Oryzias latipes: one gene and its partners. The protein of the gene in region 1 interacts with the protein of each later gene in a pairwise test. Links are inferred from orthologs where the notes say so. Each region holds a gene or a part of one and is shown in the gene's direction. Other genes may lie near its edges. The genes, in order: intersectin-2, was and sos1.

Evidence for each region.
Region 2: the proteins of intersectin-2 (region 1) and was interact in a two-hybrid assay, tested with the Homo sapiens proteins (2 studies listed by BioGRID). The link is inferred for Oryzias latipes from reciprocal best matches to the Homo sapiens genes ITSN2 and WAS.
Region 3: the proteins of intersectin-2 (region 1) and sos1 interact in a two-hybrid assay, tested with the Homo sapiens proteins (2 studies listed by BioGRID and IntAct). The link is inferred for Oryzias latipes from reciprocal best matches to the Homo sapiens genes ITSN2 and SOS1.

Annotation. Positions count from the first base shown.
Region 1 is NC_019882.2:14,797,342-14,800,992, forward strand, and holds part of intersectin-2, read left to right. Parts: intron 1-1,371; coding exon 1,372-1,846; intron 1,847-2,057; coding exon 2,058-2,221; intron 2,222-2,311; coding exon 2,312-2,372; intron 2,373-3,651.
Region 2 is NC_019865.2:21,090,866-21,094,616, forward strand, and holds the start of was (wiskott-Aldrich syndrome protein), read left to right. Parts: upstream 1-955; 5' UTR 956-1,104; coding exon 1,105-1,206; intron 1,207-1,892; coding exon 1,893-2,033; intron 2,034-2,149; coding exon 2,150-2,236; intron 2,237-2,325; coding exon 2,326-2,422; intron 2,423-2,687; coding exon 2,688-2,717; intron 2,718-2,801; coding exon 2,802-2,837; intron 2,838-2,939; coding exon 2,940-3,138; intron 3,139-3,207; coding exon 3,208-3,386; intron 3,387-3,460; coding exon 3,461-3,751. UniProt on the Homo sapiens protein: Effector protein for Rho-type GTPases that regulates actin filament reorganization via its interaction with the Arp2/3 complex. Important for efficient actin polymerization. Possible regulator of lymphocyte and platelet function.
Region 3 is NC_019859.2:117,630-121,380, reverse strand, and holds the start of sos1 (son of sevenless homolog 1), read left to right. Parts: upstream 1-1,305; 5' UTR 1,306-1,760; coding exon 1,761-1,847; intron 1,848-3,118; coding exon 3,119-3,244; intron 3,245-3,549; coding exon 3,550-3,681; intron 3,682-3,751. Other genes in the region: tmem178a (transmembrane protein 178A), read left to right, coding at 1-242.

The DNA of each region.
Region 1 (3,651 bases):
CAGAATATTTCTGTCTCCTGAGTACAACTCACAATTAAAAAGACAATCCCATGCTGTCTTATAGCTACCTATCAGTGAATGAAAGGAACTCAGCAATCATTGGATTAAATCATTGGATTAAAACGCTTTCCGCCTGACTGCTTCCAGTTTTCATAGCATCTCAGGGCACCACAAAGTGGACATTTTTTAATTGGCTCACAATTTAGGGGGAACAGTCCTGCACGTACATGGAAACACAGAAGAGTAGGAAAAGATTGTAAACACACAAGAAAGTTATTCTTCACTTTAACACTGCGCCATAATCAACTCTACAAGCTCATTTACAGTTTGTATACATTTTACAATCTCCGATAAATAACCTGAAAAAAATTGTGTTTTTGGTGTTATGAACATGTTCTGGTTGCATTTTGCTGATGATAGAGGACATATATTAAAGAATTAAGCTTAAAATTCAATATTTCATTGCTGTGAATCATGAGCAGACAAATAAAATGCCATTTGAAAATACACCAGGTCTCCCTACAGTCTCCCTGCTCCGCTCCATTCTGATGCAACCACTTGTAGACAAATGTACGTCTTTGTTTTCTTCATCTGAGCTGGGATCAGGACAAAAATGTACGGCTGGATAGTTCCAATATTGCTCGCCATTTTTGTTGCACCCCTAGTGTTAGGTTGGGGTTGTGAGGGGCTGTAGGCTAGCAGGACAATTTGTGTGGGGCTAGGGTTCCTCCCACCCACAGCTCGGAGATTAATTTCTGATAAACTCCTGCAGCTCTGCAGATACAGCCCTCGAAAATGACCGGGGGGGGGGGGGGGGGGGGGGGGGGGGGTTCTGGCTATAAACAACATAATCATAATTAAAAGACCAATGGGAACGATTTAAAAATAGATCAAAAGATGATTGGAGTGGGTCCATGCAGACAGATGTGACACAGAGTCTGCAGATGTTTTTTCAACAGACTCATGTTAAATGATGCATGTTAAAACCCTTCATAATATAGGAAGCACTTTTATATAAAATGCAGCTTTCTACTAAGTTTAGTGTAAGGAAGAGTTGCAGCCATTGTGGTCACACTGATGTCTGGCACAAATATTACAAACTCTGGACTAGAGACTGCTGCTGGACTACAGTCTGACAACCAAGCGTATTTTGACCTGTTTAGTCTACGAGTTAGTGAAAATCCAGTGAAATTTCTGACGTTTTTTTTAAAAAAAAGTCTTGAACTGATGCAAAATAATAAAATAAGAAAGCTCTGATCTAGGGGTTTTAGATTCAAATTCCTTGTAGATGTTAAAATTTACAAGATATTTGGTAAAAGAAAAAACATCCCGTGAAGTCTTTTAAAGTGTTGTTTTTGTTTTTTTCTACAGACAGAAGAAGCTGGAGCAGGAGAGGAGAGAGCAGGAGCAGAGAGAAAAAGAAAAAAAGGAGAGAGAAGAAGAGGAGGAACGGCAGAGGAGGCTCCTGAAGGAGCAGTGGGCTAGGCAGAGAGAGGAAGAGGAGAGAGAAGCACAAGCTCGCCTCCGGGCTGCCCAGGAGAAAGCACAGGAAGAGGAGCAACAGAGGAGGGAAGAGGAAAGAAGAAGGAGAGAGGAGGAGGAGGAGAGGCAGAAAAGAGAACAGGAAGAGGAAAGGAGGAGAAAGGAGGTGGAGGAGAGGCAGAGAAGGGAAGAGGAGGAGCGGAAGAAGAGAGAAGAGGAAGAAGGGAGGAAACTGAAGGAGTTGGAGGTGATGAAGAAGAAGGAACTGGAAAGAGGAGGACAGCTGACAACATACAAAGCTTTGTATTCATTTGTTGCCCGCAACGCAGATGAGCTTAGTATAGATGCAAACTGCCTCATCCAGGTAAGAAAAAAGCTTCTATAATTTTTAAATATCATTAATAATCTGCAGCTTAATATCAGCGAAAAATATTCTTACATGAAAATATTTCCTTTAATAAACTAACTGGATGACTAATTGCTACCACTTATTTTATGGATGGATTATTGTTTGTTATGCAAAATGTTTTTTCTTCTAATCTCACCTTGTTGCATATTTCTGTCTGTTGTGGCAGGTGAATGAGCTCACTGTGGGCGAGCCTGGCTGGTTGTGTGGGACGTACTGTGGAAAGAGGGGCTGGTTCCCCCAGAGTTACGCAGAGAAATGTCCCACCTTCCTCACCTCCGAAGCTGCTGCTCCTGCTGCTGGAAAGAAATCCTGTCTTCAACCAAACACAAAGTATGAGGCCAAAGTTAAGCAGTTTTGGATATTTTCCTTGAAAGTTGTGTCCAGTGCTGTCTCTTAAAGCTGGTCCCACTTGTATTGCAGAGATCCAGCTGTGGAGAAAGCAGACAATAACACTGCTCTTGTAAATTCAGATCCTTCACAGGTGAGACGATCTTAATATGCCAGATGTAGTTAAAGCATTCCATCTTTCTGTTATCATCTCTTTAATCTTCAGATTTAAGGTAAATGTCATGGAAGAAAGTCTTTTTTCACATTAAACTGCAAGAAACATTCCAGAATACAATGTTCTTTGCTGATATTAATAATTTTTTCTCACAATTTTTTACTCTGATTTTGATTAAATACTCACTCTGATAAAAAATTGTGTTGTTTTTTTTTACATGGGCTTGTGGCATTTTTCTGATGATTGAGAACATATATTAAGAGATGCATTAAGAGATGCATTTCTTTGTTCAAATCGTTGTGAATCAGGAGCAGATGAAAGAATGCTGTTTGTAAAAGATGGTATTTGTGACGTAGAAAATACGCCGAGCGGGACACAAGCTCCTTGCTCTGCGCTCTCAAGAATGGGGAGGGGAAGGGGGGCGGGGTTGCTCTTTGCCAACAGTCCAACCCACAACTCAGGGGTAAATTTCAAATGTACTGATGCTCTGCAGAAACTGTGTCCTAGAAAATTACAGGTGTTTTTTATTTTGGCTACAAAGGCATATTCGTATTCACAACAAAAGACCAGTGGAAAACGCCTTTGAAAATAGATGATTGGACTGGGACTTTAAAGCATCGCTTCAAATACAACACAACCAAGTGGCAGTGAAAGATGTGCATCACAGCAAATCAAAAAGTCAAATGTTTAAAGGTCGTAGAAACTCAAATAGTCCAAATCATTCATACACGTAGCCATGGTTTAAGTGTATTTTCTTTATGCCCTATTAATAAGGGAAAACATCCAGAAGGAGGAAGCAATGTCCAACAGAAAAGACTTGTTTAGACACTTTTAGGTCAGAGAGGACAAAAACAAAACAAACACTAGAGCATCTCAATTTGAATAAAGGAATACTTAAAAGTGCAATTTAAGCCTAACTGTCTTCATATCTGTCCTCTATCATCAGAAAAATTACACAAGAACATGTTAATAACACCAAAAACGCCATTTTAATCATGGTGGCTCATCTTGGCCTTACACTGTAAGTGGGTCTCGATGTGTCAGACCAGCTGCTGGTGCCACAAACGTGCACGCACATCTTTTGCCGCAGCACGCGTATGTATTTTTAGCTTCTCCCTGTTGGGACTCATCCTCTCTCAGCTTCTCTGTGGGTCACACTCTGCCGTTTGCTGAAGTCCACCCGACCGTCGTTTGTGTTAGTGGGTCTGTCCTCAGTCAAATGCTGAGAAAGTTACCTGCTGACTGATGCCTGCGCTTT
Region 2 (3,751 bases), on another chromosome or scaffold:
ACATGACAGCAATGGAAATGCCATTTATAGAATGCTGATGTGTTCTGTTTCTTGGAATAGTTCAGTCACAGTAATCCCTATATTGCACTTCCCTGCTATTCCAGTTTTTACAGGACACCCATCTGAATACAGTCAGTATATGCAACTGCTTTTGCTTCTTGTTAAACAACACAAAACCTGATCCTTTTCCATTTTCCTTTGGTTTGAGAGCTTTATCGGACCTTACTTGATCAGCTTAAAAGCACTTGGGAACAAAATTGATTTTAATCAATCAAAAGAGAAAATATTTATTTAGTATTTTTAATGGGTACTTTATCCGACTGACGTAAAAACCATAATTATCATCGAACTTAAAGTCCCACAGTTGTTGGGGCTTTACTGCCATTTCTTCAAAGTCAACAGTTACTGACCATCATAAACACACATACAGTGAGTTTAAACAGGGATTCTTTTTGTTACTTACAAGCGTCAAGCCAAAAAAAAGGAATTTTGTCACTTTACAAAAATAAAATGTATTTTTTATTAAAATGCTTGACAAAGCCAGTTAAACTCAAGATTGACATAAATCCAGTATTAGACAGATTTTGCAGTCCTGGAAAATGTTGAGGAACTGCCCTTTTTCAATTTTATGTACAATAAAGGAAGTTTTGTTTTGTCCGTCAAATGGTATCTTTTAACTGTTTTATGCAGGATGTGCATTTTTAAATTAATGTGAATGTTGTTATCTGTCAATAAAATAAGTGTCATTTGTACATCTGTGTTTTGTCGCTGGTGTTTTCTCCTTCTGATATTAAATGCACCCAGAATGTGTGTTTGCTTTATTAAATTTGAATATGCACATCAGTGGAAGAGCAACATTTCGCCGCCTCTATGAAAATGGAAGTATAGCACGTTCATTTATGCCCAAGCGAAGAAGAAAAGTGGGGGTTAGAGAAGTGCGGTTGTTCATTTCCTGCTTTGAGCTGCGTTCAAAACAGAGAAGAGAAACTTCCTTGATTGCAAAGTTAACCGAAGAGGCCATTCTCTTAGCGACTGCAGGGCTGCTTTTTTTTAAACAAGATACATGCAGATTTCAGATAAAGTGGATCTTTTTTAAGAGGCATCATGAGCCGTGGATCTAAAAGTAAGACTGAGAGCAACCGAAGCTCTCTGTTGAGCCAACAAGAGAATGAGAAGCTGGAGGAGCTGCTGGGAAGAAGATGTTCAGTAAGTTCTGAAATGACCTAATACACTCTGTCTCATCTGTGAAAATGAGGGGTTAAGGCCTAAGACCTTTTATAGCTGACACTCAAAAAATGTCCATATCACTTCTATCTGCTATTTCAAGGATGATTAAACATCACATCCTAAATTTAAGAGCATAGTTGCAGCTCAGCACTGAGGCTTTTGAGAATACTTTTTTTAATTTTACCTCCACTGATCTTTTCTTTTATTTTAGATAATTCCTCGGAAAAAAAAGTAAACACTAGCAAGAGTACATGTATATTTCTCTAAAATAAAATTCCTTTTTTTGTTTGAATTATATTCTAGCATTGAGTTGTGAAAAAGAGGGTGGCCCTTACAGGAAATGGTAGCTAAAACGATTCTTCCCCTGCCGTCAGAATTAGAAACCATGTTGGGTTGAGTCTCACAGTGTGGAAGATGTTGCTTTGTGTTTGTTAGCTGCAAAAGTAAATATTCTCAATGAAAGCTTAACATTTGAACATGCTCTCAATGTAAAGTGTTTCATCGTTTGCAGTGGAAAATAAAGAATGCCATTGAACCTAACTAACGATGAGGAGGAAGATAATCGTCACGCAACTGGAAATTTACATGAGGACTGCAATGAAATGCTCTTGGGAGTCTTATCGGCTGTGAACAGTTTTTAATCGGTCCCTTATTTGTGTGTTTAGTCCATGGCCACTGCAGTGGCTCAGCTGTTCATGGCTCTCCCTCACAGTCCAACCATGTGGAGTATGCAGCACACCGGGGTGGTTTGCTTTGTCAAAGACAACCCTCAGCGCTCCTACTTCATCCGAATGTTTGACATGAAGGTCAGTCAGAGGCTCACTGTGCTCTGAAGATCCAGTCGTGATAACCAGGTTCCCCTTTTCAAGGCCTGCTGAGCACTAGGGTCACTAACTGACACATCCATCATTTGCTCCCTCAGACAGAGAAAATGGTTTGGGAGCAGGAGCTGTACAACCAAATCATTTACTCCACTCCACGGACGTTTTTTCACACCTTCACTGCAGATGTAAGTGCTCGTTGATCTGCCCTTCTTAAATCATAATCTTCTACCTTGTGGGGTGGTTTAATGCATCGGCTTGTGTAAACTCATTGAAGGATTGTCAAGTGGGGCTGAACTTCTCAGATGAAGGCGAAGCAGAAATTTTCCAAAATGCCGTTGTGGAGAAAATCAGTCAAAGAAACAACCGTCAAGGTCAGCATCTCTTCTGTGGGGATTATCAGATAGAATCATGAACGCGACAAGTTTGTGCCTGATTTGCATTTCCGATGAACTGAACTTCTGTTTTTATCCGGGGCTCAGAGGAAAGTGGCAAATAAAGTAAATGCATGTTTGAATATTTACAAATTCTGTGTTTTTAAGTTATATGGTAAGATTTTTTGTTGTTAAAATACTGAAAGAAACAGTTTGCACTCATTCAAGTGTTTTTGGTGGCCTGAATTTTTTTTCCTGTTGACAGATAAGAAACAGCGCCCCCTACCGACGCCTGGTAAATACACATTTTTTACACTATTTTTGGATAAATTCCTCCTGCATTTCAGAATATCATTTTTTCTCCTCTGTTTTGTTGTAGATCGAGGTTCCTTGCCTCCAGTTCCTCCTGACAAAGGTGTCTTTTTTCAAATTCAATTTCAAATTGTGGTTTCAATATTTTTTTTTCAAATTAAATAAATATATGATAGTGTCTTAATTGGAATTTCTTTCTAAAAAGCAGCAGCTGGTAACCACGGTTCCTTTCACATGGCAACAGTGGACATCCAAAACCCAGACATCCAGTCTTCACGTTATCGCACCATGCCTCCACCCCCTGCTGCTACAGCTGTAGTTATTAATAATAAGAAAAGCAAGAAAAGCAAGAAAAAAGGTCCTAAACTGTCCAAGGCAGACATAGGAGCTCCCAGCGGGTTTACGTAAGAAATGGAGTCTTTAGAGGTACTCATGTGTTGCTGTCTGTTTATTCCTGCTCTCCTCTCTGCCAGGCATGTGTCGCATGTTGGATGGGACCCCAATAACATTGACCCTAATCTGCTGAAGCTGTTCTCCCAGGCGGGCATTAGTGAAGCTGACCTCAAGGACGAGAAGACCTCCCAGCTCATCTATAATGTCATTGAGCAGTCCGGGGGAATTGAAGCTGTCCAACAGGAGGCAAACAGAGCAGGTTGGATGCATATGTTTGATCGTTTGATCATTTTCAGAGCCTCTGCTAAATGCATAACTCACATGTTCTACCAGCTGCTGCACCTCCACCACCTCCACATGGCAGACAGGGAGCCCTGCCTCCTCTGCCCGGCTCTGGGTCTTCCGCTCCAGCCCCTCCGCCCCCTCGAGGTCGCTCCGGCCCTCTACCACCGCTCCCAGGTCAATCCCAGCGGGGGAGCCCGACTCCAAATCCACCTCCACCACGTGGGGGCCTGCCACCTCCGCCTCCATCAAGCCGAGGGGGCCTACCCCCACCCCCTCCGCAGGCTCCACCCTCCTCAAAACAGGGTGCCTCATTCCAAGTGTCCTCCCACATCATGCCAC
Region 3 (3,751 bases), on another chromosome or scaffold:
GCATTTTCTGCACCATCTCCTTATGTACCTATGCGGCCAGCGTGACCTATGACCTCTCCAGAAACCCCCCCTTCATCTACGGTCTGCCTGGAGATGTGGATCATGGGTACGGTTGGTCCATCTACTTCGCCTGGACAAGTCTGGGTCTGACCGTGGCTGCCGGCTGCCTTGCTACCACCTTCCCCTTCCTGAACCGGGCCCGAGCTCTGAGGTCCAAAACTGCACGGGAATCTTCTGTGTGAGCTGTTGGTGATCAGCAGGACACCGGACTCCGAGACGTGGTCCAGACTGGGCTGCAGAGGTTTTATTTACACTGGCTTCTGGACTCTTGCTGAGGGAGAACCTCAAGAGGACTCATACCTCTGCTGCAAAGCTTCTGTGGAGCATGGCGCCCCCTTCTGGGTGTCTTCGATAGGAACAGTGTTTGTAGTGTCAGAGGAACCGCCGTCCGACCCGGCTTGGACGGGTCTTACAGTGTCTGTTAGCCAGTGACCGTTTCTCATTGTGAAATTATGTATTTTGGCTGACCCCCCCCCCCTGCGGTTTTTACACAGGTGTGATCACAGGTGAAGATCTGGTGAGTTTGAATCTTGAGGGGCGGGTTCAGGTCCGATGATGGAGCCTCCTCTCTGACTGCATGGAGGCGCAGTTTTTGGCTCCAGATGAGCCCAGATCCATTTCAGCCCCCCCATCAGGCCACAGACAGGTGGGAGACACATGGGGGGGGGGGGGGGGTCGTGATCCCCATGTCCGGTCCATTGAAAAGTCAGCAGAACTTAGATGTGTCCAAACCTTTTTCACTCAACAGCACCAGATTTTTGTAAAGGTGATCAAGACACCTCCTTAGTGCAGGTAAGAAGGTCCGAACAGGGCCCCCCATACCACTTAACCTGACCCCCACCCACACACCACTTGACCCCCCCCCATTTGTAAATAAAATACTTGAAGCCCACCTGATCTCAGAGTGGTTTCTTCTCATTGGTACGGAGTCCCTCAGTTGGTTCTGGTTCTGAGTGTTGAATCTTCAAATCAGACTCCACTCTGGAACTTTGAAGCTAATGGGGGCGGAGGGGGGTTGTTACGACCCCCCCGACCCAGATCAAGGTCAGTCCTGGTTCCGGTTCTGTTTCTAACCTTCAAAAACGTACATCAGGACAGAGTTTATTATTTGAGTTCTGACCTGCACGTGCTCCTATGTTCCGGTGGTCCGATTCCCATCAGATCAGTTTGATTCTCCGCTCTACAGCAGCCCCGCCCCTGAACGTCAGCAACTACCCACTGCGCATGCTCACTATCTCGCCATGTTCGGTTCGGTCCTCCGGAGCGCTGCAGCCGTCAGCAGGTGACCGTCCGACCTTCCGGTTCGGATCCTGGTTGAGACAGACCGGGTGTCACGCGGCCCCCACCCGCAGGCGCCGCACTGGAGCCCCCCCCCCCAGCCGCAACGGTGACATGACAGCCGCGGCGCGCCGTTTGCTCCGCTGACCCCCCCCTCCGCGCCCAGTAACCGACGCAGAGACCCCCTCCCTCCCGCCGCCGGCGAGCCTGTGCTGGGAGCGCGCAGCCCGGGAGCGCGCAGCAAGCCATGCCCTCCGCCCGGTCCAGCTAGCTCCTAGCCGCGGAGCTAACGGTTAGCCGAGGATGGTGGCGGCGGTCCCGGCGGATCCCGGACGTCGTGAGGCCCCCGGCTTCAGCCGCGCAGCTGGACCCGCAAAGCCGCGCACAGAATTCACGCCAAACGGAGCCGCGTGCGTGTGAGCATGCAGACGGGCCAGCTGCAGTTCGATTTCTGCAGCGAGGACAACGCTCCGCGGTGGAGAGGCCTGCTGGTGCCCTCCCTGGAGAAGGTAGGTGCGCACGCACGCACGCACGCACGTAGGCGGCTGCTGCAGCCAGGTGTGGCCCTGCAGGTAAGCCGGGCCGTTCCGTGACAGGACGGCTGACGTCAGATGGGGGCAGCGGGGTCTGCCTGCTCCCCGGAGGCTACAGGTTCTGGACTCTTCCAGCTCACCTGGACCACTTCAGTCCCGATCCGACCTGAACCACTTCAGTCCCGATCGGACCTGGACCACTTCAGTCCCGATCCGACCTGGACCACTTCAGTCCCGATCCGACCTGGACCACTTCAGTCCCGATCCGACCTGGACCACTTCAGTCCCGATCCGACCTGGACCACTTCAGTCCCGATCCGACCTGGACTGATGTGGTTCTCTTGTGATTTAGAAGATCAACACTCTGCAAATCTGTTCCTCACTGTCCCAGAGTTCTTTGTTGGACCTCCAAAGTTGTGGGTTGGACCGGGTAGAAGCGCTCCAGGTGGCTGACCTCTGACCCTCTGGATCCATGTTTCATAAGTTCTGCTCACCATCAGAACCTCTGACCGCTGTCATCAGGCCCGCGTCCTGAGAGATCCATTTAATGATGGCAGAGTCCAGCTGGTAGGCAGAAACTACAACAGGAACTCAAAGAATGATGACAGGTTTCTGACCCACAACACGGTCTACCACCATGTGGACCTGGTTTGTAACGCTCATGGTTTCTGTGTTGGTTCTGGTTCTACTGCCAGCGGTGCATCAGGTGGAAATGTGGGAGGTTGGATGGACTGAGGTCTCCTGGGTTCAGATGATGTTCTATTGGGTCAGGACAGATGTTTGGACTCCTGCATGTATTAATTTAATGGGATTTAAAACCCAAAAGGTTAAATTATGATTAAACGACTTTAAAACTGGACTAAAATAACTGTTTGTGATCATCAGCTGTGGTTCTGGACGGGAACATTTCCAGAGAAGGTCTTCTTAGCTGCATGAAAGGAGCAGCAGGTCTGGTCTTTACCTGGTTCCTGTGGGACCAGCATGCAGACCTGAACCCGGTGTAGAGTCTGACCGTCGCCCATAAGTGGGTTTCGGCCTGTTGGTGAACATAAATTAAAAAAAAGAAACACAGAAGAAGCTAAAACCAACAGAAACTCAGAGAGAAAGGTGTCTTTCTGTCCTCCTCCACTGGGGGGCAGCACATATCCATGAGGCCTGTGTTTCTGCTTGTTCTGATCAAACCTGCTCTGTCATTTCGTTTTGTTTAATTATTGATCAAACGTTGTGTGTGTGGCTGCACGCTGCAGGTACTGAACCAGGTACACCCCAACCTGAAGTCCCAGCAGGAGGCGCTGCAGTACATCGAAGAGCTGATCCTGCTGCTGCTCAGCATGTTGTGTCAGGCCCAGCCTCGCACAGTGCAGGACGTGGAGGTGACGCACACGTGCACACATGCACAGATACACGCATGCACACATACACAGATACACACATGCACAGAAATACATGTGCACACAAACACACGTGCACACCTGCACCCATCCACACGTGCACACGTTTGCCGTGGCCACATGCATGTTCCACCAACAAGCCCTTGAAATCTCCACCAATGATTCAGACCTACAGGCTTAGGGATGCTGAAACCTGGAAACAAACCCTCTTACCTTTAGTCACCTAAGTGAGGTCAAGCCTGCAGGTCAGGTCACTTGGTCCTCACACCTTCTGTCGGTTGTCTTAGGAGAGGGTCCAGAAGAGTTTTCCTTATCCTATCGACAAGTGGGCGATTGCAGATGCTCAGGCGGCCATCGAGAAAAGGAAGAGAAGGAACCCTCTGTCTCTGCCGGTTGATAAGATCCATCCCCTGCTGAAGGTAACCGTCCTGTCAGTGTTTTCTCCATCCTCCGCTCTTGTCCATGTTTATCAGTAACTCTGACTCTCAG